Rhinolophus ferrumequinum: one gene and its partners. The protein of the gene in region 4 interacts with the protein of the main gene of each other region in a pairwise test. Links are inferred from orthologs where the notes say so. Each region holds a gene or a part of one and is shown on either strand. Other genes may lie near its edges. The genes, in order: CRCT1, FABP3, HSF2 and NUP62.

The links.
Region 1: the proteins of NUP62 (region 4) and CRCT1 interact in binary tests that used the Homo sapiens proteins (3 or more experiments, as listed by UniProt). The two-hybrid records come from large-scale screens. The link is inferred for Rhinolophus ferrumequinum from reciprocal best matches to the Homo sapiens genes NUP62 and CRCT1.
Region 2: the proteins of NUP62 (region 4) and FABP3 interact in binary tests that used the Homo sapiens proteins (3 or more experiments, as listed by UniProt). The two-hybrid records come from large-scale screens. The link is inferred for Rhinolophus ferrumequinum from reciprocal best matches to the Homo sapiens genes NUP62 and FABP3.
Region 3: the proteins of NUP62 (region 4) and HSF2 interact in binary tests that used the Homo sapiens proteins (3 or more experiments, as listed by UniProt). The link is inferred for Rhinolophus ferrumequinum from reciprocal best matches to the Homo sapiens genes NUP62 and HSF2.

The regions. Positions count from the first base shown.
Region 1 is NC_046305.1:52,054,978-52,062,068, forward strand, and holds CRCT1 (cysteine-rich C-terminal protein 1), read left to right. Parts: upstream 1-4,744; 5' UTR 4,745-4,898; intron 4,899-5,902; 5' UTR 5,903-5,923; coding exon 5,924-6,274; 3' UTR 6,275-6,589; downstream 6,590-7,091.
Region 2 is NC_046292.1:21,496,569-21,504,347, forward strand, and holds the start of FABP3 (fatty acid-binding protein, heart), read right to left. Parts: upstream 3,005-7,779; 5' UTR 2,915-3,004; coding exon 2,842-2,914; intron 1-2,841. Other genes in the region: SERINC2 (serine incorporator 2), read left to right, coding at 3,389-3,454. UniProt on the Homo sapiens protein: FABPs are thought to play a role in the intracellular transport of long-chain fatty acids and their acyl-CoA esters.
Region 3 is NC_046286.1:71,759,415-71,766,738, forward strand, and holds the start of HSF2 (heat shock factor protein 2), read left to right. Parts: upstream 1-4,316; 5' UTR 4,317-4,448; coding exon 4,449-4,541; intron 4,542-7,324. UniProt on the Homo sapiens protein: DNA-binding protein that specifically binds heat shock promoter elements (HSE) and activates transcription. In higher eukaryotes, HSF is unable to bind to the HSE unless the cells are heat shocked.
Region 4 is NC_046298.1:44,951,440-44,959,036, reverse strand, and holds the start of NUP62 (nuclear pore glycoprotein p62), read left to right. Parts: upstream 1-4,578; 5' UTR 4,579-4,713; exon of another isoform or gene 4,714-4,775; intron 4,776-7,597. Other genes in the region: ATF5 (cyclic AMP-dependent transcription factor ATF-5), read right to left, coding at 1,568-2,229, 3,001-3,178. UniProt on the Homo sapiens protein: Essential component of the nuclear pore complex. The N-terminal is probably involved in nucleocytoplasmic transport.

The DNA of each region.
Region 1 (7,091 bases), on a different chromosome or scaffold from region 4:
CTCAGGAAACGGGGAGCATAGCAGAGCTGCCTGTGAGATTGGCAGGCGTGTGTGTGTGTGTGTGTGTGTGTGTGTGTGTGTGTGAGTGTAATCCTCCAAGCTCCATCACCACCACAGGCCTGCAATTCTCTCTGTGCCTTAGTGCTTGTCATGCTTATGGGGGGAGGAATCTGGTCCTTGGATGTGAGGGGAGGGTAGTCACCCGGGGCCCTTGGGAAAGAAGCTCTCAGCACCTACTGATGCCAGCTCAGGGCTGGGTCTGTATAAAAGGCAGGAGCTTCTGACAGCTCAGTTCACCTGCCTCCTGGGTGTCCTGCTCCAGTCCCTGAAGCAGGTAAAGCCCATCTCGAGGACCTGCAGGGACTCTTGGTGCTGGCATTTGGGGCAGAGTGAAGCCCTGGGCGGAGGACAGTATTGAGAAAAGACAAGAAGGGAGGACATGGAGGGCGGGCTGTGCTGCAAGGGGAGGGTGGAAGGCGGGGAAGCAGAATCGGTGTCTTTTGGAAGCTGCACTTGAAGTTACTGGAGTTCCTGGGCGGAAACCTTTGGCCTGTTTCTTGTAACTGATTTTGCGAGACTGAGTTTGAAAAATATGATCATCATAAAAATGAAATCTTGTGAATTCACATTTCACTGTTGAATGCAAGGGCGTTGTGTCGAGTTAGTTGAACTTAAAACTTCTGTATTGTCTTTCGGCTTCATTCGGCTCCTGCCAACATGTCCTGCCAGCAGAACCAGCAGCAGTGCCAGCCCCCTCCCAAGTGTCCCCCCAAGAGTCTCCCCAAATGTCCACCCAAGTGTCCTCCCAAATGTCCCCCCCAGTGCCCAGCCCCCTGCCCACCTCCAGTCTCTTCCGGTTGTGGGCCTGGGGGTGGGGGCTGCTGTTGCCCCAACTCTGGGGGCGGGGGCTGCTGCCTGGGCCACCACAGGCCCCGCCGATCTCTGCGCCGCCGACACCACTACTCTGACTGCTGTGGCAGTGGAGGCGGCAACCAATCTGGGGGCTCTGGCTGCTGCTCTGGGGGCTCCAGCTGTTGTTCTGGGGGCTCCGGCTGCTGCTGACGTGGCCGTGAGTAGCACCGAGGAGCCGCTTTACAGGAGCCAAGGTGCCCACGACCCAGCCCTGTGGCTTCTCCTCCTTCCCCAGGGAATGGTGGCCTCAGCTCCTGTCTCCTTGCGCCCGTGTTCCTCCGCTGTGAGGAGGGCCAGAGGGCTGACCTGGGTCTTCGCCTGACTCTACCCTCGGACACACTTCTTTGGCGACTGGTGTTGCAGTGCAGTTAGGCCGCTGTTTTCTCTGCCACAATAAAGCTTTCTCACCCGGATGCCACAGCCTCCTGGTGAAGTTATGTCCACCTCTCCCACTCCCCGCCCCTTCTCTGAAGTGCACGTGAACCCTTTAAAAATCAGTCTGGGAAGCAATTTGGCAGTGAAGCCCCTTAGACCGCTGGGAAACATACTCCCGTTGGCGCATTGAATGTGGGAACGTGAAGTTGAAGGGGAGAGTCCTGTCTGAGACCATCACGTTGACACAAGTCTTGCAGGGCGAGAGTTGGGGACAGGTTTTCGGGGCGGAAAGGATGGCGATACCCAGAAGGGTCACACTGAGATGAGCTACTCCCGGACGGTTTCCTTCAAGCAAAGGTGAGGGTTAAAAAGGGCTCTGTCTGCTGGTTATGGGAAGTAGGGCCACCCAAAGTGTTGGTTCTGGGCCCCAGTGAATGGACACCCTTTATTTCTCTGACTTCCAGGTGCTTCCATCCGTTGATTAGAGAAGAGCTGATGGGGGTTTCGTGAGTTTAGGAAGCAGGGATGAAATGTCTGAGCCCATTTTCCTGAAAGCCTGAGTTTGGGTCTGAGTAGAGAACCAAGAAGGACAACCTCCGCCATGTGGTTTGTGTGTGTGTGTGTGGGGGGGAGAGTGGTAGGAGGGAAGAGCAGGGGAGCTCTGGTGACTGTATCCAGTTTTCTGTTTCCTTTAGGCACAGGCTGATTCCTCAGGAGATATTTAGAATGGTTGCGATAGAAATGATAATTCCAACGCAGCCTTTTATGTACGAGATATGATAATTAAGTTCATGAACTGGCCACCGTGCGCTTACATTGGCAGCGCCGTGCAAACAGCCGGGGAAGGTTTCATAACCTTGGTATATCAGTGTCTCACAGCTGTGTCCGTGTCCACGTGTGGCGGTGTTTTGCTGAGTGGCGTTCATTATTGTTGTTGCGCTTTTGTGTGCCGGAGTATGTCTGAGCTTGAATTAGAGCCATGAACAAACATTACATTTCTTGTTAAACTTGGCAAAAGTGGAAGTGAAATCAGGGACATGTTAGTCCAAGTTTATGAGGTTAATGCCATGATGAAAATGGCCGTGTACAAATGTTTTTCTGAGGGGAGAGGACGTGTCACTGATGAAGAGAGGTCAGGGCAGCCAATAAAGAGCAGAGCTGACGAAAACATTGCAAAAATTCATCGAATAGTGTGTCAAAAATCTCTGGGTGACTGTGAGAAGCATAGCAGACCAACTAAACATAGATAGAGAAACAGGAAACTCTTAACTAAAAATCTTGGCATGAGAAAGGTGTGTGCAAAAATGGTCTCAAAGGAGTTCATTGATGAACAAAAACAAAGGAGAGTTGAAGATTGCCAAGACCTTTGGGAGAGGCAAGGTGATGTTTTGGGCCATGTTTTCACTCGTGATGAATGAATACGACCAATACGACCCTGAAACAGAGCATCAAAGTGCACAATGGACGTCAGCCATTCTCCAAGACCACTAATGTTCTGTCAGTCCAAATCAAGAGTCAAAATGATGTTGCTAACCTTTTTGACATCAGAGGGATTATTCATTATGAATTTGTACCAACTGGACAAACAGTTAACCAAGTTTATTATTTGGAAGTGCTGAAAAGGCTGCATGAAAAAGTTAGATGAAAACGACCTGATCTTTTCGCCAACAATTCGTGGCTCTTGCATCACGACAATGCACCAGCTCACACGGCACTATCTGTGAGGGAGTTTTTAGCCAGTAAACAAATAACTGTAGTGGAACACCCTCCCTACTTCCCTGACCTAGCCCCCAATGACTTCTTTCTTCACCCGAAGATAAAGGAAATATTGAAAGGAAGGCATTTTGATGACATTCAGGACATTAAGGGAAATACACTGATGGCCTTTCCAGAAAAACCATTCCAAAATTGCTTTGAGGGGTGGACTAGGCACTGGCATCGGTGCACAGCTTCTCCCAAGGGGGCTACTTTGAAGGTGACATAGTGATATTCAGCAGTGAGGTCTGGAGCACTTTTTGTAGGATGAATTTGCGAGCTTAATTGTCAGACCTGGTACAAGGTAAACAACTAGCCCTTCCTTTGGTATGAGTTAACAGTGACGGGTAACGTGAGTTAGTGTATGAGCTGGTACATGAGGACCAAGTCCACGTAATGAGCACAGACTTGCCTAAACCACCTCCCAGAGAAGAGCCTGTCCCCAGCTGGTGACTTCATTCCGTCTCTAATACTGACCTCACTTCTGGGAATGTCTCACCTGTACTCACCAACAGGTGACCCTTGGTGCATGCAACCTGTTAATCAGGCTCTGAAGCCATGGTAAATGAAACTGGTATCTTTTGTGACTTACCGTTCCTTGTCTGTTCCCTCGTGCCACCCCCAGCTCACGCACCCCCAAACCTACGTCTCACCATCAACTCTCAAATTCTTAGTCTTGGATTTCTTGGATCTCACATTCATGGTTGCGAGCAAGTACATTGATTAAGGAACAGTTATGAAGCCAGTTGACCTCCAAAGTCTCTCCCAAGTCTTAAAAGTTAGTTATTCTAAAACACCATTTCTCATGGACACTTGGAACCTTGGGAAAGACCTCTCTCTCTCTCTCTCTCTCTCTCTCTCTCTCTCTCTTTCTCTCTCTCTACCCCTCTCCCCCCTCCCCTTCCTTCCTTCCTTCCTTCTTTCCTTCCTTCCTTCCTTCCTTCCTTCCTTCCTTCCTTCCTTCCCTCCCTCTTTCCATTTGGCAATGGCCCCAAGGAGAACCTATCTTCAAAGGCAGTTTGGGATGGGCTGAGGAGCAGAGAGGCCGCAGGCTGGCTTGGCATTGCCGCAGAACCAGCCTCCTGCATACAGTTGTCTCTTTGATGTGGTAGCATGACTACATTCACAGCTTTTCTGGTCTTAATGGCTCCATAACTGCTTGGGTTTTTCTTCCTGCTTCCAGTGACAGAGAGACACTGCCACTGGGATTCCCACAGCCACATCCCTGCCGTCGCCTTCATTCAGTGCCATCTGGAAGCATCTGGATGAAACCCAGCAGGCTCCTCACTAGCGTGTGGCCTGACTCGAGGATCCAAGGCCCCAGAACCAGAGACACGCAAACCAGGACCCCGAGTGGATGAACGGCCAAGATATGACCACGCAGGGATGGATGTGTGAACGGGAGCGGTGTGTGTGTGTGTGTGTGTGTGTGTGTGTGTGTGTGTGTATGTGTGTATGAGTGTGTGTACACTGTGAAAAAGGGCAAACACAACAGGTCCTGCGAAAGGGCCGCAGACCTCTCCTCACTGCGTCTCCGTGCTGTGTCTTCACCCACACAGCCCTCCCAGCTATGACCCGTGTCCTGTTTGGAAAGTAAACATGCCACAACAATCCTGGCACCTCTGTGCAGTGAGTTCAACGTGCACGTGCACCACCTACAGTGTTACCTAAGTGACAAACGTCTCAGGGATGTGAGTGTCAGCTGAGCCTGTCTGTTGGGAAACAGGCTCCTCCCAAGGTCCAGCACCTATGGAATCTATAAAAGGTTTTCTCGCTGGAAGCTGGTCAGTCCACAGCCTAGCAGGTGGCCCGGTCCAGTTGGAAAGCTGAGTGTCTTCTGGTGGCGCCAGGGGCTGGTGAGTCTCTACACAGGGCCTGGGGAGGAGGCTGGGGAAAGGGGAAGGCAGGACACAGCTGGACGGAGAGCCCTGGAATGTGCACTAAGCGTCAGGTGAGCCAGCCTCTCATGGTACCAGTGAAGGCACGGAGGCCAGATGGGTTGGGGGGGCTTCCCGGGCAAGCCTGGAGCAGAGCTGTGGCTAGGACCCGGGTCATGGCCCCCCAGTCTGGGGTGCATTTCCACCTTGGGCGCCACTCTCCTGTTCCTGTGGTTGTGGTAAATGAGAGGCTAGGGCAGAGGAGACCTAGACAGAGATGCGTCGGGCCTTTGTGGATTCTTCAGACCCGCTTCGGGGATGCAGGCTGATCGGGGAGTTTCTGACGGCCGGGGCATGCATGCCGGGCCAGTAACTACGCGACCGTCACTTGGAAGTCTGTGGCCACATGAGATGGGAGACGGGAAGAGCCAGGAGAAGTTTGGACGGGATCCTACAGCTACCGTGTTTCCCCGAAAATAAGGCCTAGCCAGACCATCAGCTCTAATGCATCTTTTGCAGCAAAAATTAATATAAGACCCCGTCTTATATTATATTATGTTATGTTATGTTATGTTATATTCCGGATCTTATGTATTATAGACCTGATCTTACATTAATTTTTGCTCCACAAGATGTATTATTAGAGCTGATGATGGTCCGTCTAGGTCTTATTTTCTGGGAAACGGGATACATTGCTTCAGTGTCCTCGCTGTTTTCCACGGTGGAGAACTTGGGTGTTCCTTATTCTATCCCCAGAAATTAGGAAAGCACTGACTGTGCACAGACTGTTCCCCGCTCTGTGCACGTGTAACGCCCTGGAAACACCTCTTCGGGGGTTGGTTTCTTTGCTCCCCCTCTTTTCTTCCTCGCACCGGGCAGGCTGTCTTGCTCACACAGCCAAATCTCAAGCGCCACCAGTTCCACTGTTGGAAAGGAAACGTCTGTCGACCTCGCGTGTGAAAGGCTGCTTTTCTTTCTTGCAGGTTAACGGTGACGACCCCGCCATGTCCTCCCAGCAAAGCGCGGCTTTGGCCAAGGGCTATCCCAAGGGCGCTTCCCAGGGCTCCGCCCCGGCGCCCGCCCCGGTGCCCGCCCCGGTTCCCTCTTCCTCGTCCTCCTGCTGCGGCGGCGGCTGCTGCGGCGGCGACTCCGGTGGCTGCTGCGGGGACTCCGGCTGCTGCGGGGACTCCGGCTGCTGCGGCTCGGTGTCCACCGGTTGCTGCTGCTTCCCTAGGAGGCGCCGCCGGCAGCGCAGGAGCGGGAGCGGGTGCTGCGGGGGCGGCAGCCAGAGGTCGCAGTGCTCCGGCAACACCCAGAGCCAAGGCTGCTGCGGCAGCTGCTGCGGCGGCTGCTGAGACCCCCGCCGCCCCGAAGAGCCGTGCGACAGCCACCGGCCGGCCTGCAGTCTCTGCCTCCTCCGGTCACCAAGCTCGCGCTCAGGGCTGGGCCTCCGACTTTGACCCCCATCAAGCTAACTGCACTTGGACGTCCAGAAACCCAGCCTGTTCTCAGCCCGCAAAACTCCCTGACCCCTGTGTGATTTTCCTGCTTGGATGGGACACTGGACTCTACTGTCTGCATGGGCTTGCACGTAGTAGGTGTTCAGTAAAAGCCTATTGATCTGATTGCCTTTTAAAGACATGTCATAATAAAGCTACCTCCTGAGAACACCCCTCTGGCTGTTTGTGCTTTCCGTCTGTGTGTGTGTTGTGTTCTGCCACCCCTTCCACTTCCTCACTCAGCCCAGCTTTGGCATATTTGCAAAAGGCAGGAAACTGAAATAATCTCTGCTTGAACAAGGGTGCTTTTCTGGAACTTCATCACGACAGCAGAAGTCGCCTATGGAGCCAGGCAGTCTTCTAAGGATTGCAGTGACACGCGGCGTCTCATTTCATTCTCACGATGACTCAGTGAGGTAAGGGCTGTTATCCCCACTGTATAGAAGAGAAACTGAGGACGCATCACTTGATCAGTCACTCAGCCGGTACGTGATGGAGAAGACCAGATACCCAGCTCCAGGGCTTATGCTCCTAACTGCTCCGCTGGGTCCCCCCAAAACCTTCCAGAGCCTTGCCCACCCTCCTACCCGCTGGGCCCAGGCAACTGAGCCGCAAAGGTTTGCATCTGCCGCACCTGGCTTTGGAAACAGGCAGCTGAGACGTTTTTTGGCTT
Region 2 (7,779 bases), on a different chromosome or scaffold from region 4:
ACAAAACATCTTCAAAGCCTCTTATCCCAGATCTGGGAGGTAGGCGGAAGGCATGTCTGTCTCAGTGTACAGATTTAGGAGAGGCCTAAAGTGGTAGTGCAGTCAGAACTCGAATCCAGGTCTGCTGGTTCCTAGTCTAAGGCCCAGTGGGGGCTCCCTTCCTGACCCAAGCATGGCTTCCCTGGGTTTTGGGTAAAACCCTAAGTGTCCTGCAAGAGAGTACAAAACAAAGAGCTCGTAAGCAAAGTCTAAGGTGTGTCCCTGCGATTTTTTGCATCTTACCTCCCATCATAGCTTCCCCGCCCCTCTGCCCCCAGCAGCCTATGCTGACCTGTCCTCCAGGGCAGAGGCGAGGCTGGAGCAGCCCAGTGGGGTGAGGTGGTGTGTGTCAAGTCCCCAGATGTGATTGGCTACACAGTGCTTGTTGGCAGCTAGGTACTTAACCCATGCCCTCCATGGGTTATTGTACTTAAATGCTCATAATAGCCATGAACGGTAGGTTTTAATACCCCCAATTTACAAACGAGGCTCAGAGAGTGAAGTGACTTGCCCAAAAATCAAAGAGTAAGTGATTGACCTAGATTTGAATCTAGGCTCCAGAACTGTTCACTACTCTTCCTGGGCCATTCGGCTTCCTGTGACATGTGCCTGCAATTACTGACCGAGGCTGAGCCTCATTGCCCCCTGAGAACTTTTGGTCTAAAACGAGGGGCACAGGCAGCCTCTGCAGCTGTGCCGCGGCTGGCCCACCCTGCCTGGCCAGTGAGGGACTTGGCCTCGCCCCCTACTGTCAGGATGAGGCCAGTTCCACTCCTGGGCCTTGCCACTGCACAAGGAGTTCTGTTTGCATCGGACCCACCTGGAGGGATGGAGTGTTTGAGGAAGGAAACCTGTGGAGTGAGGGAGGGACCGAGACTGAAACTGGGCTGACAGAATTTAGAGGATTTAGGAAGAGCTGAGTTCTTAGAAATGACACGAGCTATTTACTGAGAGAGCTGAGGAGGGCCTTTTCTCCCTATGGGCCTCAGCCTTTCAGTTTGTACAAGAGAAGCAAGTTGGATGGACTCTTAGCCCCCTAGCCCAAGGGGGGGCAATGGTGGTAAGCACGTTGCAGCATACTTCAGGGACCCAGGTCTTCAGCTTGAATGTCTGCTGTGGGAGGCTTGGGAGGAGGAGCTAACCCTGGGCACCCCAACTTTCCCAACAGCTGCCCAGGGCCCCCTGCTTCTCCAAGAATGGCTGCCTTCCTGGAGTCCAGGTGTAGTACCCAGTACAAGGTAGGGGCTTTGGGGCCTCCAGGGCCAACACTTGTGGTTAGGAACAGAAGTGAGCGGTGTCTGGAGTGCCCCTCCCCCTCGGGTATCTGATGTAATCCAGCCAGCATTCCCTGGGACTAAGGCAGGGAACGTAACTCCACCATGACCAACATTCCAGTTTTCCCTGTCCCAGCCTGGGGAACTAGGATAATCTCATAGCCGGGGATTTCAGGAAAGGGTATCGTGTTGTCCCGAAAATAAGACCAGGTCTTATATTAATTTTTGCTCCATTAGGGCTTATTTTCAGGGGATGTCTTATTTTTTTCATGTACAACAATCTACATTTATCCAATTACAGTCAGTCATGTCATCTTCTGGAACATTGTCATAGCGTACTAAATGCATCCATCTGGTTGAGATCTTAACTGAGGCTTATTTTCCGGGAAACACAGTTATCACCCTCTCCATCTAAGCACATACTAGGAGGGGAAGGGGTGAGGTCAGTCCTTAGCTAAGGAGTTCCAACCACTCCCAAACCTAGGGGCTATATGGGAGCTGATCTGGGTTGCAGATCTAGAAATCTAGGGTTTCATCTCTGCTGTGGAATTTTTATGACGTTTCTACTTTCTCTGTGTCTCAGTTTCCCCATCTGTTGAACTAGGCAAGGTATAGGGGTTTCCAAGGACCTCACCGGTAAGATTCTTTGAATTTTTACCTTTGTGCATCCCAACACCACACCCTTTTAGACCAGAGACCCGCCCTGCCTTTAACAGGTCATGGCCTTGCTCCAGGACCCTTTGCTGCACTCGGGAAGTCCAGTGGCTTTCTCCATCATACCCGTCCCCAACAAGTGCTTGAGCCTTGGGTTCTAGGTGATTTGGGGACTTCTTGCCTCACCCTACCACTAGGCTCACTGGCAGTGATTAAAGCCAGGTTACACACCACCGCGGGACAAGGTCAGAGACTGGCTGGTGAGAAAGAAGGAATCCTCCAGGGGAAATCCTTTTCCCTACCCAGCATGGAGGGGCAGGGATTGTTGCTAACTATGCAGGCCCCTATCCCACCTCCTTTTCCTATCCCATCACTGCCCTTCCCCACTCTTCCATCTCCCTCCTCCTGGAAATTTCCTACTTCTGTAGGCCACAGTATACTCCCTGGTCACCCCTTTCCCTTTCTCTGTTCACATCTCCAATTCCTAAACCACCTATGCTCCTATTCTTTTCCTCCCTTGGCTAGCATCCCACCGTCTTCAGTCAGTGCTCTCTTTTTATGCAGACCCTATCCCTACCTCCAGATCATATACCTTTCTTCCTCAAAAGCACCTTTCTACCCCCAAATCCACCAGCACATCTGCCTCCTTGCGCCTTCCTACCTGGCAATCCCTCTCACCAGCTTCAGACGGTGAAAGCCCCCTCCCGTCACGCCTCACATGCCCTAGGCCAGGCTGCCACCTTTTCCGCCCAACCTTACCCCCCAACCTTGGCCAGGAGGGACGCAGCAGGCGAGCAGGGTACCAGCCAGGGAGGGAGCGCTGCGCCGGTCTGGACACGTGGCCAACCCCTCCCCAGACCAGCATCCCGCTCACCGATTGACTTCATGTAGTCATCGAAATTCTTGCTGTCCACTAGCTTCCAGGTGCCCACGAAGGCGTCCACCATGGTGAGGCTGGGCTACGCTGAGAAAGAAGAAGCGACAAAGCTGGTGTGGAAGGGACTCCAGGACCCGCAGCTCCTAGCCCGCGCTACCGCTTTAAATAGCCCTGGCATCACGTGATGAGGCGTGGCCCACACCCCCGCTCCCGAAATAGGAAGCCCCGGGCTGGCTCTTACCCTCCAGGGGTTGGCCGCCCATCCCCCAGCCCGCCGAAGCGGAGGGGGCAGCCAGTGGCGTTCTGCTCGCCTGCGTCAGCGCGGATGCCGGGCCTCCGAGCCCCTATCCCGGGCTGGCAAGACCGGCTCCCTCCCTGGCCTCAAGGCGCTCTTTGGAATCTGAGAAGGAAGCAGCTGGGGGCACGATGCCCGCGAGCTGGGGCGCATACCGCAGACGTCTTCCATCCCCCCAGTCCCTCCCTGATTTTGGAGTTAGAGCAGAGATGAGAGACTGGAGGAGAAAAGAAACTCGCCCTTGGGCTGATGCCCACGCCGGGAAAGCTCTGGCTTACTCTTCGCGGCGCAGGCATCTTGGTCCTCATTTTGCAGGTGAGCAGACCAACAGGGGAACTGACAAGGTCACAGTAAATGAAAGGGTGAATTGGAGCCCAGATTGCAAGCCTGGTCTAGTTGGCACCAGAATCTGCGCTCTCCCGCCACGCCCCACTGCTCGGTGGCGGGGAGAGTCACTAGGGACTCCATGGGCAGCAGAGCTGCCCCTGTACCTGCTGGGGGCGAAAGCATTATCCTTTCAGGCCCTGCCCGCTCCACACGTGCTCTCCCCTCCCTGCGGAATGTCTCCCGCATGTGCCTTTCCACCCAGCAGTCCAACTGCCCATCCACCCTGTCAAGGCTCCAGGCTTTTCTGACCTCTGTGCACAGCTCTGGCATTTGCTGTGATCGGTTCGCTTGTCCTCCTTCAGAAATTCTGTCCCCTACCTGCCGGACTGCTACAGCCCTCACCTGCTGTCCTTTCTCTGACCTCTGCCCACAAGCAAGCGGTCAGTCGCCTCCTTTGAAGAAACTACCCAGTGGTTTTTCTGCACGTTCTAGTTTACAAAGCTCTGTTGATAAGACACACCTCGTATTGATGTTTATTGCGTGCTGAGGGTCTCATAGGACTTTTTAACAAAGTCCGTGAGGTAGGTGTTGTTATTATCCCGGTTTTACAGATAAGCAAACTGAAGCGTAGAGGAACCATTCATTTCTTAACCATTCATTAAAGCACCTACTTTGTGCCAGGCCCAGGGCTAGGCTCTGGAGAGACAACCGTAATAAGACACACACTCACACAGCTCACCTTTGGGTAGGCAGATACAAAACTAGCATGGTGACTGTAAAGGGAGGCCTGTCCTGATTTGGGGTTCAGGGGAGACTTCCTGGAGGAAGTGAGGGATAAGCAAATTCCCAACTGAACTTCAACCAGCAGAGGTTCACCCAGGGGGATATGCAGGAGCTGCAGGCCTAGTAGCCCTGGGCTCCTGCCAGCTCTGCCATATACAGCGTGGTGGACCCTCCTTCCTGGGCCTTTGTTTCCCCACGTGGAAGTGGAGAACATAGGCTCCTACCTTCCTTCCCCTCACTTTCTGGGAAGGAGGCCAGGGAGGAAGAGCCCTCTCTCCCCCAAGGTCCTGATTATTTTGGACAGATTCACTTGCCAGAAGACTGAGAGGCCTATTTCTGCCAAAGCTTCAGGGACAGGCCTCAGGGCTTGGCATGGAGCCCTGGTGACTTCACTGCCAGAGCAAGTGTGTGTGGGGGGGTAGAGGGGGGGCAAGGAGGGGAGTGGGATGGTTTCTAACTCAAGGTCACAGCCTTTAGACACACAGCGTCCTCGCTCAAGCACTGAGTGGCTAGAGACCCAGGGACAAGAGCTCTCTCTCTCCGTAGTCCTTATAACGCAGTGATGGAGATCTGGGGTTGGGCTAACAGCTGCTGGCAGATAAATCTGTGTTCTAATTCTCATACCATTGAGTTCTAGCTATGTGGCCATGGGCAATTCACTTAAGGCACTCTAAGTCTCAGTTTCATCTTAAAAATGGAGGTAATGATAAATAGCATTTACCCCATAGAGGTGTTTGGGGATCAAATGAGATGATGCATTGAAAATGCTGAGCATGGTATGCTTAATAAATGTTCTCTTCTGCTGCTGCTGCTGTTATAATCTCAGTGGAGAATGCAGGACTCCCAACACCTGGTCTGAGCTCTGCTCATCACCTGCTGGGCCTCCCAAGGCAGATTGCTTTGCTTCTCTAATCCTCAATTTTCGTATTTTTGAGACAGAGTTAGAAACTGCTGCAGCCGTGAGGAAGGGGCTATAGAGATCTATGGGAGGGGTTGAGGGGGATGCTGCCAGAAAGTCATTTTGCTTGCTCTCTTGGGCCCTGCCTGTGTTAAGCAGCGTGGTGCTTTGAGGAACTCCAGACAAACCCGAGACCTGCTGTTCTCACTGCCCTACGACCATCTCCCCACCGCAGCTCAGTCCTGAGGCACCAAAGTTGACTCCTATGCCACACCTTACGCTTTTCCACCTGCTTCTCATCCTCTCCCTCCTCCCTCCGATTACCTGCATCCTCCTTGCCTGTTATACTCACTACATTTGGGAAGGGGAAGGAATGTAAGCCCTTTTCCTTGTCCTGTCCCCCTTTCTTGATCTTGGCAATCCAGATGTGGATATAACATCTGGTAGGCAGCAGGCCCAGTCCCTGCGAAGAGCAGCATCTCACCAGCCCTCACCCTATGCTGATGTCACTGTTCTCTGTTTCCATGACAACCACAGGCTGGAAAGATGGAGAAGAGGAGAGATGAGTAACCAGGAGAGAGCCAATGAGATGGGCTGGCAGCCCCGCGTGATCCATGGGGCCATAGGGAGGGAGGGGAGGGAGGCCTACTCAGCATCTTCAGCTGTTCCCTGGATCCTCCCTCCCATCTGGACACCTCCATTGGGGGATGTGCTGCTGGCACAGGGAGCGATGCGAGAGGCACGGGCCAAAGATGCTGAGCAGGAGGCTCCACTGATCCAGGGACACAGCGACCCCCTTCCTTTGCCCCTTGACGGCCTCATTCTGTAGATGCTGACTGCCTCCACCCCACCCCACTACCTGCAACTGGGAAATGTTCTCTTTGTCTGGTAATGGTGGTGTGGCGCTCGGTCTCTGTCTGCCATGGAATTGTGGGGGCTAAACAAAGATTGATACTTTTCCTTCCACTGCCTAAGTTCTTCTAGCTGGGCCAAGAACCAAATGAACACAGACAGATTAACAGGAGAAAATAAAACATTAACATATACGCATGGGGAATTCACATCAGTTTGAAAATTCCAAAGACAGTGAGGCAACATTGGGGATGTAAGACATTTTTGTAGAAAGGAGAAAAGAAGGGGCCTGGGGTGTTCCATTTCAGAAGTGAGAACGCGTGATTTATAGGTAGTTGAAGAAGAGGGGATCATCACACATCACACATTGGAGGCAAATTATTGCTAGGCAACTCGGACACAGGGGCATCTAGCTAACAGGCCTCTGCCTGAAGCCCTCTTATTTACCACACTTAATTCAAGTTAGGCTAAGGCAGCCATCCTCAGAATCCCTTTCTGGAGTAGGCCTTTCCACTTGAATCTCTCAGGGAGGAAAGGGGGGAGGGTCAAAGGTTCTTTCTGAGTCTTGTTTCGTAATAAACAACTTAAAATCAATATCCCAAAATGGAAGCTTCAGAGTAGCAAAACTTTGGTTCCCTTCAGAATCGTTAGGTTTCTCCACATCCTTCAATCTCTCCCTTGGTGCATGGGGTATTCAAAAGCAGTATCTGGCTCTAAATCCCAAGCCTGCCACTTAACTAGCTAGAGACCTGAGCAAGTCCCTTCCCCCTTCTGAGTCTCCTTTCCTCCCAGATGGAGGAAGGCCATCTACTTCTCAGGGCTGTCATGAGGATGAAAAGAGATAACATATGGAAAGCCTAACACTGATATTCAGTGAATGGTGCCCAGCCCCCACCTCCCTTCTCCCTTTTGGATTTCCTCCCAGGGCAGTTGTCCCAGAGGTGATCAAGAGTGAATCAAGGCTCTTTGAGACCTTGAACCAATAGAAAAGCATGCAGGTATTATCTCCTTCTCACTAAGGTCATCCAGAGCCTTCAGAGACTGCAGAGAGGTGTCCTCATCTCTCCCTTTCTCTTTAAATAATTCGTCCATTCTACCACTCTTAGTCGAACACCTCCTGTGTCCAAGCACTGTGCTGGGGCTCAGTGGGGATCCAGGGTAAATAGGAGAGGCACCACTTTTGCCCTCTGTTAAGGTAAGAAATGTCCAAACCGGTAGAGAATTTTTGCCAAAATTTATTGGAGCCTAATTAAAGATACACCTGGAAGCAAGAACTCAACAGAGTGAGGTAAATGCTGCCAAGGATAATAGTTTGCAGTTTCTTCTGTGCACTTGAGGTTAAGGAAGATTACAAGAAGATGGAAGAGAGCAAGGCAGGGATCGAATTACAGGACAGTTAAGATTATGTGCCCTCTTGAAGGTGCTCATGCTTTAGAAGGAGGGGTCTGAAAAGAGACATTTCAAAGGGGTGTTAACCTAGATGCATAGAGACGATGGACAGGGCTTGCTTAAGGTAAAGACAAGGCTTTTACGAAAGCAGTTCTATGCCTGGGGTGTGACTACTGCCAGAACCTGCCCAGCTAGGAATTTATGATCAGATCCCCTGTGAAATTACTTTCTCTTTTCCATCCACACCTCCCTGAGCTCACAATGCAGGGGGATTGCGGCCACAGTGGGTGGAATGGAGTGTTCTTTCTGCCACTAGGAAATCGCTTCCTTGTTCCCTAAGAGTTCTAGATACTGTGGGTCTGAGAGAACAAATGATGGCAAAAGACAGAGG
Region 3 (7,324 bases), on a different chromosome or scaffold from region 4:
ATAGCTCCTCAATCACTTGCCTCTCAGTTAAGCTATGCTTAAGCTCTCCTTGTCTTCATTTTCTTCTCTTATTACCTAAAAAGTATATATGAACTGAGACTTAATAAATTGTAAGGAGTTTCCTTACTAGATAGAGGACATTTTACCCAAAGGGCTTCAAAAACTAAAACTATTCGTTCAACATATACTTATTAAGCCATTCCTGTATTATTTATTAGCATTGTGTTTACTGCTAAGGATACAAGAGTGAATGCTGCAAGCACAATCTGTCAGGCTAATGAGGGATTCCGAGAAGTAAATGAGCAATAGCAGTGTGGCAAATACCATGAAGGTCAAATTCCACATGCTATGGGAGCATATGGGAGAAACAACTAATCCACATTTGATGCTCATGGAAGACTAAATGGATGGTTAGCCCTCAAGATCGTGTATTCGTTGATTAATTCAACAAATATTTATTGAGAGGCTAATGTGTACCAGGCACTGTGATAGCCATTGTAGGTCAGAATAAATGTAAATATGACATAGTCTTATGTAGAGTTTCATAGTCTAATATGAAAAAAAAAACACATGAAAGTCAATAATTACAAATGATGCAATAAGGGCTGTAATAAATGTCTCCAGTGAAAGTGTCACAAAAAAGACGACTTATATATATGGAATTGTACTTGACCTTGAAGGTTAAGGAGGAACTCACAGGATAATGGGGAAGAAATGCTCTCCAGGCAGAGGCAACAGCTTGCAGAAATATTTAGAAGTATGAAAGAACATGGCCAGTAAGGTAACTACATGCAATTAGGTTTGGCTAAGGGTACTGTGTTTGTGAAGCGTTGTGGTCAGTGACTGGAATGGTAGGTAGCATCAGATCATAGAAGGTCTTTTATGCAACCTCAAGGGGTTTGGATTTATCCTGAAAATTATGGGAAATCACTAAATGGTTTTAAGTCAGGAAGTGACCTTTTCAGATTTGTGTTTTAAAAGATACCTGTAAAGATTGTGAGGATGGACTGGAGGAAGAAGCAATTCATCTGAACCTCAAAACCACTCTGTGAAGTGAGTATAGCAGGTATTTTCACTTCATTTATACAGAGGGATCCTACTTTGGAGGTGTCAAGTGATTTGCCTCACGTTTCCTAGGTCATTCCAAAATTGAACAAAATAACACTTTGTCCAGATAGGAATGTACGTGGAAACCTCAGTACAGTTGAGTAATGTTATCCTTGAAAATAATCTTTAAAAGTTCTGTTTCTACTGCTGATTCAAACTAATTTTGCATAATTGGTTAGACAGAATTTGTACAGTCTGAATCAGATGCTTTGAATCATCAAAGTGCTCCACAATATGCTTTTCTATTCCCTAGGCAAAGCCTGGGTCACTCATATTTTCTAATGTTATTCTAAATTTTCTAAATCTTACACTGCAGGCTACAAATGAGCCATGGAAATATTCCAACATTTTTATTTGGAGTCAGAAGGAGGCCACTCACTTTAAGAAAGTGACATTTGTATCCTTTAATATTGTAAACATTTCAAAATTGTTGACACTAGCTCAAATTTGTTTCTTCTGACATTTGTGGGATATTGTGGGTGGCAAATAATTGTGAATTAAAAAGCTTGGTTTTGTTTGCTGCTCGGTTTTATAAATAAGTGCAAATGAGCCAACGTTGATTTTCTCTTCCCTCAGAATGTCTCTAGTCAATAAAGTTTTCAAACAGTTTATTAATTACAATAAATATTAAGAATTAAGTTCATAGAAAAAGAAAATACAGTAGTGTAAATTATTCCTGAAATGGCTGGATTTTGTCAGGAGACGAAGGGTAACAAAAAGTCTGTATACGTTTGCAAGGAAAGGTTAGTTTACTAACTTTTTCTCTATAACAGTAGTTCTCAAAGTGTTGGCCCAGGACCAGCAGCATCTGTATCACCTGGCAACTTGTTAAAAATACAAAGTCTTAGCCTGAACCCTGTGAGTGGGGTTGGGGGAGAAGCAGCAATCTGTTTTTTCAGAAGCCCTCCAGGAGATTCTGGTGTAGGCTAAAGCTTGAGGCACGCTGGCGTAAAGGGAAAAAAAGCGTATGTTTCAGACTAGAAAAGACAAAATGGTTTCAATTCCAACTTCAGCCATGTGATTTTAGACACATCATCTATTTGCTGGGCCAACACCAGATATCTGGTTAATAACTTAGCTCCTTAGTTGTCCTTATGAGTTTTACAAATACTGCCTGATAAGTGATTTTTGTTCATTTGTTATATTGACAGTCTTTCCCCTCCAAGTGATTTGGATACATGCTTAATTTTGAGAACTATTGGTCTATGAGATCTAATACACTGGAAGCACACCAGTTACATAATCTAAGGGGCCAGTGCAAAATGAAAATGCAGGATCTCTTGTTCAAAAATTAAGAATTTCGAGATGGTGAGAGCAGAGCATTAAACCAAGTAAAGGGTTCTACTAAGCACAGGCCTATAACTGTACAGATTGAATGTCCAAAGAGGAGTTTCTGCTTGTATCTAATCACACCTTTTCTTTTTTCAGATGGAAATAATACAATGTCATGAAAAGAGGCCACATTTCTCCCTCATATACTACCAATCTTATCTCCTTAACTCTGCTGTTCATAGACAGACCACGCTCGTTAATCTCTCCATCTTTGCTCACTGTTGTCTTCCTTTAAGCTATCCAAATGTATTTGTACTCCAGACCCAACTTAAGGTCCCAGCCTCCATGAAGTCCTCCCTTACCATCTTAATTCACTTAACTCACTTAAACTCACTTAACTCACTTAAAAGTCACCTTAACTCACTTAAAGTTTTTGTAAACTTTTCAAGTACTTGTTTTATACCATAAATTTAGTTCTTAGTTTTTAAATATTAATGATTGCTGATCATTGTGTTCATGTTGTTTCTTGAATTAGAATATAAATTAAGCTTCAAGATGGTACCATCATCATACAATGGAAAGAGCACAGCATTTAGAGTCCTGGATGTAAAGTATCCTCTCTCATTTACTAATTGTGATGTAGGTAAATTAATTCACTTTGAGCCTTAGAATCTTCATTGGAAAAATGTGATAATAGTCCTACTTCCTAGGGTTGTTGTGAGGATTAAATGAGATAATACATATAAAATCCTGGGCACATATAAGGGCTCATCAAATATTAGTTTCTTTATCAGATGTATGCCACCATACATCTGATTTTGCTTCAGCAAACAGACCAGTGCTGAACATAAAAGTCAGTACTCAATAATCATTGCTCATTGGAAATGGTATTTTATTTTTTTAATGTATTATTTCACATGTTCCCAGTAAGCCAATCTTTTGTTAAGTTTTGTATAGTTTTATCATCACTGACTTGTTATAATTCTTTATAGTTTCAAAGCATTTGCACACCTGTTATGTTAGTATTACCTTACATGGGTGAAAAGAGAGATACTCCTATTCCCAATGAGGAAATGGAAAAGACTGGCACTGACAGATTAAGGAATTGCTCTAAATTACATGTTAGCAGTTAAATTTAATATCCACTAAAGTGTCCTCAAAGCTGGGTCTAAAAGATATGCTACTTGTCCAATATTTTTTTCCACCATAACCAAACTGTCTCCACAAACAATATCTCTGTAAAGCTCATATGGGAACAATTATTTTACTTGATTAAAATAGTGTAAGTAAGACTATTTCTTTTTATGCTGAGCATATAATGGGCATTCAATGTCTGTTGAATTAAAAACACCATGTAAGGCTCCTATTATAGATCCAGGTTCACAGCAGTACGTGCTTAGTAAAGAGTGAGTTATTTAAATTCCTCTTTTTGGTAAACGTATTTTAAAGGGCCCATTTTCTAATTAAAATTTAAGGTCAAGCTTCCTAATATCTAAGATAGTTTCAATGTGAGGCCTAGCACATCATGCTTGAAACCCAGCCCACACCCCCATCTGAATTACTATACTCCCTCCTGCTGACTGGCGCAAACCACACATTGCCCGCCACACATATGACTCAGGCCTGTGAGGACTTTTTGTAGACTCTCAGCCACAGCCCAGGAACCCAAAACTGTTTCCACGTGAAACAACCAAACACAGTAACCTAGGCCAAAAGTCCGCTACAGTGAAGGCTCTTGTATAAAAGGCGAATGAGAAGGCAGCGCCCCGTTCTGCTCCCACCCCCTTCACGTCCGCAGCATCCAATCGCTTATCTCTGTCCTGGGTCGGCGCCCGGGATTGGCCGGGAACGAGACCCGCGCGGGACCAGTGAGCACAGGCGAACGCGGAGACTTGTCTATCACGCGCGGCCTCGGGGCTTCCCCGCCTCGCGGAGCGCCTGGCGAGGTTGGGGGGCGGGCCCGGGAACCGCTGCGCCTGCGTTGTGGGCGTTCTCCCGGAGCAGCTGCAGCCGCCGCCGCTACCGCCGCGTTCGGCTATAGAATTTGGAATCCCTGCGCCTCGTTAACAATGAAGCAGAGTTCGAACGTGCCAGCTTTCCTCAGCAAGCTCTGGACGCTTGTGGAGGAAACCCACACCAACGAGTTCATCACCTGGAGCCAGGTACGGGTCAGGGTACGGCGGCCTCCGAACCCCCTGGCTTGTCGCCGCGTCTCTTGCTTTCTCCTGTAGCGTTGTGTCTTGCGGCCTGTGGCTCGACACCCTGTGCGAGGCCCATGGGGTGGCGGTGCGGCGCGGTCCTCGGCATTCGGAGTCGCGGAGAACCCCTTGTATTGTTCACGCAGGGAACTGCGAGGAGCCGCGGGGGTCCCGGCCGGCGCCGCTCGCCCAGGCCGCGGTGGGGGAGGGGCGGCCCGCCCGGAGCGCCGCGGTCCGGGAGGCCCCGTAACGGTCCGGCTCGTTCGGCGTTCGGAACCCGCCGGGCGGAGCGAGGGCGACGGTCGAGCCGAGGGCGCGGGAGCCACGTTACTGCACACTCATCCTTCGTCCTCCTGCCCGACTCGCGGTTTACGAATTGCTGAGGGCACAGGCAGCCCTGGGCCGGGATCTTCAAAGCCGGGGTTTAACAGAGGAAATCTCCCTCAACGACCCGATTATCGTCACTAAACACACACTCACTCACACACACACACTCACCCACCCACACCTCTTTGCATCTGAGATCTTTCTGAGGCAAGCAGAGAAGTAGGCAAACGTTCAAATGCAGGTTACTGCTTATCAGTAGGTTTTAAAATTGTAGAAAATGGTACATTATTCTTTGGAGATTCTGAGCCATTTGTATAAATGGATTTTTAAGATTAATTTAATAAAACTGTTAATAGACAGGTGTTCAGTAACTTAGCGAGGAGCTAAAATGAATCACTAAATTTCACAGGAACAGTTGCCCGCAGAGGTATATGGATGCCATGATTATTAGTTTGATCCCCACTGCCACTAAACCAGGATAAGCTCTTCTCTTGTCTGGCCTAAGTTTCATCACCCATGAGATGATTGGGTTGCCTAGATGATCTAAGACCCCATCTACTTCGAAATATTAAAATTCTGAGCGGAATGATTGTTGTTGCATAAACAGTGCATTTGTGTTAGAATGCACTCTTAGGCTTTTGGAATCATTTTGTGAAGGGGAGTGGATTTCTCCTGTGGTAGACCATCATCTGATCTGTTTGGGATATTTTCTTGTTAAAAGGTTTGGAAAAGAATAAGAAAAACCTACCTGCACAGTGTCTGGCACCTGTTAAATCTTGAGTAAATGTTATCTTCCTTCTTTCTCCATTTCTTTTCTGTTCCTTTCCTGTTACAAGAACTCTCAGTTTTATTATTTACTTTTGTCTTAACAGGGAGCACTATATTGAGTATATGAAGTTTTGACTACTATAACACCATATTATGTCTTACATTACTGTCATTTGTTCATTTTTTATCTTCTAGGACTTAATTTTCTTGAAGGTTGGTATCAGCTGGATGGTGTACATTAAGCATTTGATGAATTCTGTACAGTTTTACAAAGGTGAAAATAGGGAAGGCAGCCATCCGCATATGCTTAAAAATAAACAGATGTCTCATGCTTCTCATCAGTCAGAAGGATTAAAAGTTGACAAGGGTGGATCAGCACAGACTGCTGTTACTCAGTCTTGTATTCCTGTTGGAGATCGTACTGAGAGTACCCCCCCACCCAAGCTGACTTTTATACCATTTTGGCTTGCATGGGCCTTTTTGTTTTTATTGCCTAGAAATGGTAACTAAGTATATTGGTAATTGGTTTTAACTAAAGGGTATTATGTTGGTGTCAGGTCTGATGAATTCTCATTAGTCAAAATATTTTAATAACATTCTTATGGGCAGTATCAAACATGGAGAGTTTCAAACTAATACATAAATACGTAATGAATTCTAAGCCAAATAAACCACTTAAAAAGTCTTTCTTTATTTATCCCATTAAGTTGAAGCTTAACTACACATTTTCTAATACATAACGGGACATTTAAAATATAAGTGAGAACAGGAACAGTATCTATGCCAGGGACACAGTAGGTACTTAATAAATGTTTGATGAATCAGTAAAATCCTTGAAATATGTAATGGAAGAGTGGTAGGCATAATAAAGATAGACTTATGTTTGAAAAGAGTCTTACAGATCATCTTAGTTTAGCTTCATCGTTATATAGGTGAGAATTTGAGGCTTAGACAGGCCAGATGAGTTTTAATAATTACAAAGCTAGCCATTATTGGAGATGGAAACCTAACAGATTTCTGACCTAGATCAGTTGTCCACCAACATCACTACACTTAATATAGGTTGGCACAATATTTAGTTACCAAAATGTTACCCCTCCACAAGTCAGTGGACAGTTCTGGATTAATGTTGTCTAGGGCTGTTTAGTGGCTTAGGGAAGCTGTCTCTCTTACCCAGAGATTTTTCCAGAAGCAGTGTTAACAATGAAAGGTAAAACTTTAGTTAAACGATGTTAGATGGAAAAAAACAAAATAAGTTACGCTGATCCTTTAAAGTTTGCTATTTGTGGCGGTTTCTGGTTTCCTTCAAACTGGTCTTGCTGAAATTTTGTTGAGGTAATTTAGCACTTATACTTTCTAAGTGAAAATCATATTAAGACCTTTTAGAAGCGGCAGATGTTTTGGAAACCAGGCAATACTGTATGCAATATATGTATACTTTTTTACTTGAAAAATAATTTACTCCCCTAGCTTGAGTGTAAGGCAAGGGGAGAAAACTCTTACCAACTGCAGTTTGAAAAGCTTGGCTTAATATTCCTAAAGACGTAAATAACTTTAGTTTTCTTTGAAACTTGTTATATGACAAAAATGAAAAGTGAAATAAAACCCCCTTTGTCATCATCAAATATAGAAATATATTCCAAGTGATCAAA
Region 4 (7,597 bases):
AGGCTTAAAATTGCAAGTCCTCATATGTAACAAAAGGCTACAGGCTAAGCTATCAAGGGTGAACAAGAATTAAACTCATTCCCCTGGTTTATGGAATTACAAGTGTCAAACAAAAACAAATTGCGGGAGGATGGGAAGCATGAAGTTTATTCTGGAGTGATGGCGGAACTGTTTTTAACTAGATAGAGGTGGTGGCTGCACAACACTACGAAAGTACTAATGTCAGTGAGTTGCTCACTTTAAAAATGGTTCTTCATCCAAAACCTAACAGTACCTTCCTTTTGCATTAACTGAAATAATGTCAACTGCTTAAAATACTGTCTGGCATCAGTTGGTTAGATCGTGGTGCTAATAACACCAAGGTTGCCAGTTCGATCCCCACACGTGCCACTGAGTTGTGCCCTCCTTAAAAAAAAAAAAAATAGTGCCTGCCACATAGTTGAGCCCTCAACAGATAGATGTAGGGGACCATCCCCACTATGGCTACCAGGCCATCTCCCACTTACCTCCCAAATACCCCTGGGAGGCTTTCATCAACAAGGGGCTCCTCCACATGGGGTACCCCACAACTCTTGTTGCAGCTGTCCAGCCCGTTTTGTTTGCGTGTCACCCGTTTTGGTGTGTGATGAGGGCCATGGGGCGCTGGCACCTTTAGCTATCCTTTGTTTTGCTATCTATGTAAGTAATTAAGGGTCTGAATCTAAAAGTGGGTCTTGCATCATTACCAGTTCAATCAGTCCCATCGTGACCTGGGCCGTGTACCAAGTGTTGTGTGCTTGACCATAAGTACTATCTGTTATTTCTATTGTCATTGTCTTTGGCTTACAACTGCCCTCTCCCAACTTCTTCTCTCAAAGACAAGACGCTCAGACCAGAAGTTATTTATTTTATTTCCACCACAACCCCCAAAAGGATCGCTCCCGCCCTCTCTCACCTAGATGCAGCCCCTGCCCCAACACCTTCACAAAACACTGATTTCCTCCCAGAGCTAAAGTGAACACCCACTCACCAACTATGGCCACACCCACTCTGCCCAGCTCCCCATCTGCCTCCAGAGCCACCAGCTCTTCAAACTTGCCTACCTTTTGGCTCCCTGCCCAAATGTAGTTTCCCAAGGTCAGCTCGCTTGCTTGTTCTGCTTATGTTATTATATGGGTGCCATTCTTAAAACCCTCTCTGACTTATTCCCTAGACGGCTCTCCTGTGCTCATTTACAGTCATTCTGCACAGCTTTCTGGCCTCACAGCCCCGTTCGAGAGCTGGTTTCCAAGCTCTCCCCTGCTCCCTGAACTCCCGGGGGCCTCAGTCTCTCAGCTGTCACTTGAAAAGTGTAGGTGTTGACTAAGGCCAAATGATCCATGATTCTGAGGAGAAGGGGAGCAACATGGACAAGAAATGGACAAGAAAGGAGACAAGGATAAAAGGAGAGAGAGAGAGAAGGGGGGGCTTTGGAAAGAAGCTAGAGGCAGAGGGATGATGGGGGGACCCTCCCATCTCAGCCCCAGAAACAGAAGTGAGCCAGAGCCGGAGACCAGTGCCCCCTACCGCCCGAAGCCCTGCCTGTCTCCTAGCTCTTGCGGGTCCTCTGGCTTCGAGCCTTGTACACTTCGATGAGCAGGTCCTTGACATATTGGATCTCCCGCTCCACAGACTCAGCCCTCTCCCTCAGCTCCCGGTTCCGTGCCTCCAGCCCCTGACACTCGCCCTCCAGGGCCTCACCCTCTGCCCGCTTCCTCTGTCTGTACCTCAAAGCAGCTGACTTGTTCTGGTCTCTCTTCTTTTGCTTGCGGTCCCCTCGAGTGATGGCAGGACTGGGGTAGGGGGCTGGGCGAGAGGTTTGAGGTAGAGGAGGGCGCTGCTGTGGTGGGGGCATGGGAGCCAAACCCGAATCCCCCTGCCCAGCCTCACTGCGGCAGTAGATGGCCAGCAAGTCTAGGGTGTCCAGGGCAGGGGGCTGGTGGAGGTCAAAGGTGGGGGGTAGGGGGACAGGGAGGGAGGGTGCCGCTTGTGGTGGTGGCTGTGGTGGTGGGGAGGATGGTGGGAGGAGTGGGGCATCAAGGAAGAAGTCTTCCATCTGCTCCAGCTCCTTCTTGAGGAGCGAGGCCATGGCTTCCAGGTCAGGGGAGGGTGGGGAAGGTGGGGGAAGGGCACCTGAGGGTAAGGGGGGCTCCAGAGGGAGAAGGGCTGTAAAGTCCACCCGTTCAGTCATCCAATCAGAGAAGCCATCACCTGGAGGATTGGAGGAAGACAACCAATGAACCAGTCAAACGTCTAACCAGTCAACTAACCAACCAACCAACTAACCAGTCAACCAACCAACAACCAGTGGACCAGCCAACCAATCAACTATCTGATTCAGTAACCAACCAATCAACCCTTTTCACCGACCAATCAATGAACTAGTCAACCAACCAATGACCAAAACAAAACAGTCAACCAACCATTTCTTCAACCATTCCAACATTCTCTTTACTGAGTAACCCACATCTGTGATTTGATTTACTTTCTAGTTTCTTCTTAAAACACAAACTCGATCACACATACACAATACACCCTGTTTCACCTTTAATTAATTATTGAAAACCCACTATATGACAAGCATTGGGGACACACTAAAGGAATAAAATAATCCGTCTCAGGGCTTCTGCATATGCTATTTTCTCCACCTAAACAGTTCTTCCCTTGGGTCTTTTCATAGCTCATTCCTTCCCATCCTTTAGGCTTCAGCCAAAACATTACCTACTTGGAGAGGGTTTCCTGGCTATGGACTTTAAACTAGGTCCACAATGTCATTTTGTAGCTAGAGTGTGAGCTCCAGGAGGGCAGGGATGTCAGTCTTGTTCCCAGCTATATCCCCGGCACCTAAAATAGTGCCTGGCATATTACAGGTGCTTAATAATTATTTATCAAATGAATGTATGAATGAATAAATTCTCCCTCCTTCTGTCTTGTGCCCCACACCACAGCTCCACACCACCTCCATTCTTCACCTGTCCTTACCTGCCAGGGGCTCTCCCCCCCCTGGAAGCCCGCCCTCCAGGGCTCCCCCAAGGACCTCATAGGGGCCCAGGGGGGCAGGGGCCAGGGGGAGTTTCCCATAGTCTAGGAGCCAGCTCAGCCCGCTAGCTGGGAGCAGGGCCCTGTCCAGCTCCAGCCCCAGGGTGGCCAGGAGTGACATGGCTGCAGCACAGGCGCTGGGAACCAATGGCAATGAAGGAAGCTGCACCAACAAGTGAAAGGAGGCTCTGGAGGTCGCTCAGTTGGCCGAAGACAGGCACCAAGGTGAAAGTGGAGGACCTACACGTGTGAGACAAAAGTGGGCAGGGTCATAGGCGAACCTCACTCACCGCCAAAGTCGCAGGGAAACCAAGTTCTACTCCCACATCCCGGGGGGCAGGGGGCGCTGAGGGGGGGGACCCCTCCCTTTCCCTTCCAACTGGGTTGGGACTATGCCTCGCCCTCAGAATTCTAAATCTGCCCTTTCCCCAAATCTGAGCCCCACCCACTCCCAAGGGGATTCTCTTTAGGCCCGACTTTATTTTCTTCAAAATTCCCGACCCAATCCTCCAATACAGAAACATAATGGTTTCCCAAGGGAATTATCTTAAGCCCTTCCCACCCACCCCATAATATTCCTTCAGTAAAAAAAACTCAGTCCCAGGGGAATTTTCTTCCAGCCACACTCCTTTCTCTAAAATACTTCCTTTAGGCCCCACCCCCTCCCTAGGTCCCATCTCAAATCAGTTCCCAGGGGAATTCGCCCTGCCCCACCCCTTCACCAATGTTATCTATTCAAATCCTGCAGGGACTACCGTTATTCCGCCCCCCAGCCCCGCCCCACTATCTTAGCTGCACCCCTCCCCCGCAGGCCCCTATTATTTCTCCAATCGAAACCCCACCCCTCATCTAACGGTTCGCTTAGCCCCGCCCCTTCGCATAATACTCTCCCTAGCCTTATCGTTCGTCAAGGCTGAGATCCTAGCTCCACCCCCTTGTCTTTACGCTCTGCCTTCTACCCAGTCAGTGTAAACTAGCACCCGCCCCAGCAGATGCCTGAATGAAAGGGAGAGACGCTATGCTGCGCGCCTAAGCGATGTGGAGCAGGCGACTAAGCAACGTGGACCAGGGAAGGTGGAGGTGGCCAGCAGAGAACAGCTCTCTACGCCAACCTTCCACACTTGGCTCTCTCGCCGAGGGCCAAATTTGGCGCAGCTCCACCACCAGAACGGTCCCATTGTTCTCACGTCTACGCGGGGGGGCGTCAGTGCGCATGTGCAGCCGCCTACTGCCAGCCCTTCGCACAATATGGGCTCTGGTGGGCTGACGCGCATGAGCAACAGCGCGAAGACAGACTCGTTCCGGAAGAAGGAAAAAAAAAACTCTCTGAGGGCTGGTGCGCAGGCGCAACCGTACGCAGGCCATCTATAAACGCCAACGCAAGAAAAAGACACCCTCCCCCACCATCGGGCCGAGTACGCATGCTCGGCCGCGCGCCCATGCTGGTTTTCCCTCTTCTGCGCCTGCGCGACCGTGATCCCTCACTTTCGTCTCCCCAACCTCCAAGCCTGGTGGTGAGGGCCGCGAGCTTCGAAACGGCGGGAAAGGCGGTTGGAGAGGGAGGGGTGAACGGTTACTCACTCCATGGCTGTGGAAAGGAGAGGCAGCGGCGGCCTCGGCTGAATAAAGAAGGCAGGAGCGAAGAGCGCAGGCGCGGTGAGCGCGGAGACGGGCGGGGGGCACGGAGGGTTCGCAGCTACAGAGCCATGGCCGGGGCTTCGCGGGCAAAGGCGGCTTCGCCGTAGTGTGAGGAGAGATCGTGATCTGAGGATGGGGAATGTGGTGGCCCCGGGGAGTGGGAACAGATATATCTCGGGCGGCGCAGCACGGGACCGCCCGGATCCTTCCGCGCCCCGCCTCCGCGCGGTCCAACCCGGAGGCGGGCCTGGCCCCCTCCTCTTGGGCATCCGGCCCCCTCCTCCTTTCGACCCCTGGGGTTTGGCCCTCCCTTCCCGGTGGCTCTACGGTTCATCCCCCTTCTGCTGGCTCTGGCCCTCCTGCTCTCTCGATCCTAGGCCTGATTTCCTCCTCCCTGAGACCCTCACTGGTGAATTTCTCATTTCCTTTCCCCTGCTTCATGAATTTCCGGCCGGCCACACGCTCATCTCTGCTTTCCCCAACTGCCTGCTCACGCTGAGAACGCTTTTTGTGGGTTAGAGTCCCGCGAGTCCCAGCCTAAGCTCCATTCTAATCACATACCTGCCATGCTGGTCTTGGGCAAATAACTTCTCTAGCCTCATAGATAGGGAACTATCTATAATATTAGAATAACCAACTCTACCTAATGGGGTTATTTGTGAGAATTAAGGAAGTCGATGCCTGTGAAGACCTAAGCACAAAGACCCGCTTATACGTGTCTGTTCAACCTATTTTATTATTAATAGGAACTCGGGGGCCCCAGTCTCACACCCCCACACACGCACTCCCCGCAAAAGCCTCAGACACTTGACCATCCAGTACCAGCTAACAGGTCGTTCTTTTGTCTCCGTTCCTCCAAGGTGTCAATTTCCAGCCATCCCCACCCTCCCCCATTCCAAGTAATGGCCGCTCAGCCCCATCCTGGTGTAGGGGTGCAGAGAATCTGGCATCATCGCCCCCACTCCATCCTTTTCTCCCTCCCCTGCCCACCTTCCCTCAATCCTTGGCCGCAGCATTCCTTTCAGGCCAGTTGTTTCATTCTTCTGGCCCTGCCCCTCTCCCTGACTTCCTGAGACGCCCCCCAGTGGATCAGTCTCCCAACCCTGCCAAGAATGGGGGGACTTCCACTTCCATTTACTAAAAGAGAGCGAGCTTCCTGGCCATCTCCTCCCTGTGCGCTGGGTCCTCTGCCAGCCCAAATGGGTGTGGGTCTTTTCTCTGCTGCAGAAACCTGTCTTTCCCACCCTGCATCCATCCACGTCAAGACATTACCCTGGAGTTCAACCTTCATCACTTCTGTGGCAGTTATGAGACTGAAGCAAGATCCAGAGAAGGTGGGGGAACCCTGATCTTGAGAGTTACGTGGGCAGTAAAGAGAAGCGGGCTTCTGCCTTCCCCCTGGTTGCATGCAGGAAGTCCTTGGCATCTGAGCGCTTTGCCTTAGGGCACTTACCGTCCTCTCTGCCAGTATTTGAGCACTTGCCCTATATTTCCTCGAGTCTGTAGAGGCTCCATTATTACCTAGGCAGCACAGAGTAGTGGTTAAGACATAGATTCTGGAGCCCCGTTATTTAGGTTCAAACCCTGACGCACCGCACTTACTAGCCTTGTGGTACTGGCAGTTTCCCTTAGAAAGAAGAGGCCATTAATGGTACCTGCTTTTTAGGGCTGTTATGAGGATTAAATGAGTTAATCCAGGTCAAGCGCTTAGACTAGTGCCTGGCACACACGAGGTGCTATACACATAAGGGGTGGTGATGGTGGTGGTTACTGAGGTGGGATATATTTTATCTCCACTGCTAAGCAGTTAGTGCTTTAAAACTGTGATTGGTCTTCCACCTTTTAAGTGGAACTTCAGGACCGATCTCTTCCTACTTGTCAGTATAGAGATTTGAGCAAGACCAGGCAGGGTTAGGGTAGACGATTGGACAGACTGCTGGTAGTCGGATGGCACAGGCGCGCGCGTGCGCACACACACACACACAGTTTTTCTGAGAAGACCTTCTAGGTTATGTGTGGGAAGTAGGTAGAGTTGTTTTTTTTTAAATAAACTATTTGGGAATAATTCTAGGTTTACAGAAAAATTGCAAAAAAGATAGTGTACAGTTTCCATATACTCCTCACCTAATTTTTTCCATTGTTTTCATCTTACGTTACTGTGATACACTTGTCATAGCTGAAAAACCAACATCTCATCTGTACACGTCTATTAACTAAACTTCAACTTTATTCTGATTTCACTGGTTGTTCCCTATAGTCCTTTTTTGTTCCAGGATCCTGTCCAGGTTGCCATATGACATTTGTCATTGTGTCTCCTGATCTGCAGTCGTTTCTCTGACTTTCCTTGTCTTTTATGATCTTGACAGTTTTGAGGAGTGCTGGTCAGATATTCTATGGAATATCCCTCAGTTTGGTTTTGTCTCAGAGACTGGGACTATCGGTTTTTGAGGGGACGGTCAGGTAGGGTATTTTTTAATAACCAGAAAGGAGCTTGCTCAGTATGGGAGTCGTGCTGCGGCTGTGTGAGGTGTATGCCGACTGAGAAGGCCGTGGGGCAGGGATCCTGGTTCCCTGTCCCAGCCCCCGTACCGCCTTCTCTCTCTAGCTGTCCTATTCCACCCAGTTCAACTCTGATGCCAACTGCCCCACCCAAGCAGCTTGACTCAGACCTGCTGGGTGGGGGCCAGTTCTCCAGACTCAGCTCTCTAGCCCTTCCTGGCATATTCTAATTTATGGGCGGTGGGTCATCAGTGGCTGCCTGTGAGCCTGAGCCCTCGCTCATGCCCACCCCTGACCCGGACCTGTGGCCCCTCCAGGACTCAAACGCCTCAGCCTCCCCCACCTTCGCAGAGTAACCCAGCCTTTCCTTTCCAACTCGAGCTGGGGCTGGAAGCGTGGGTGG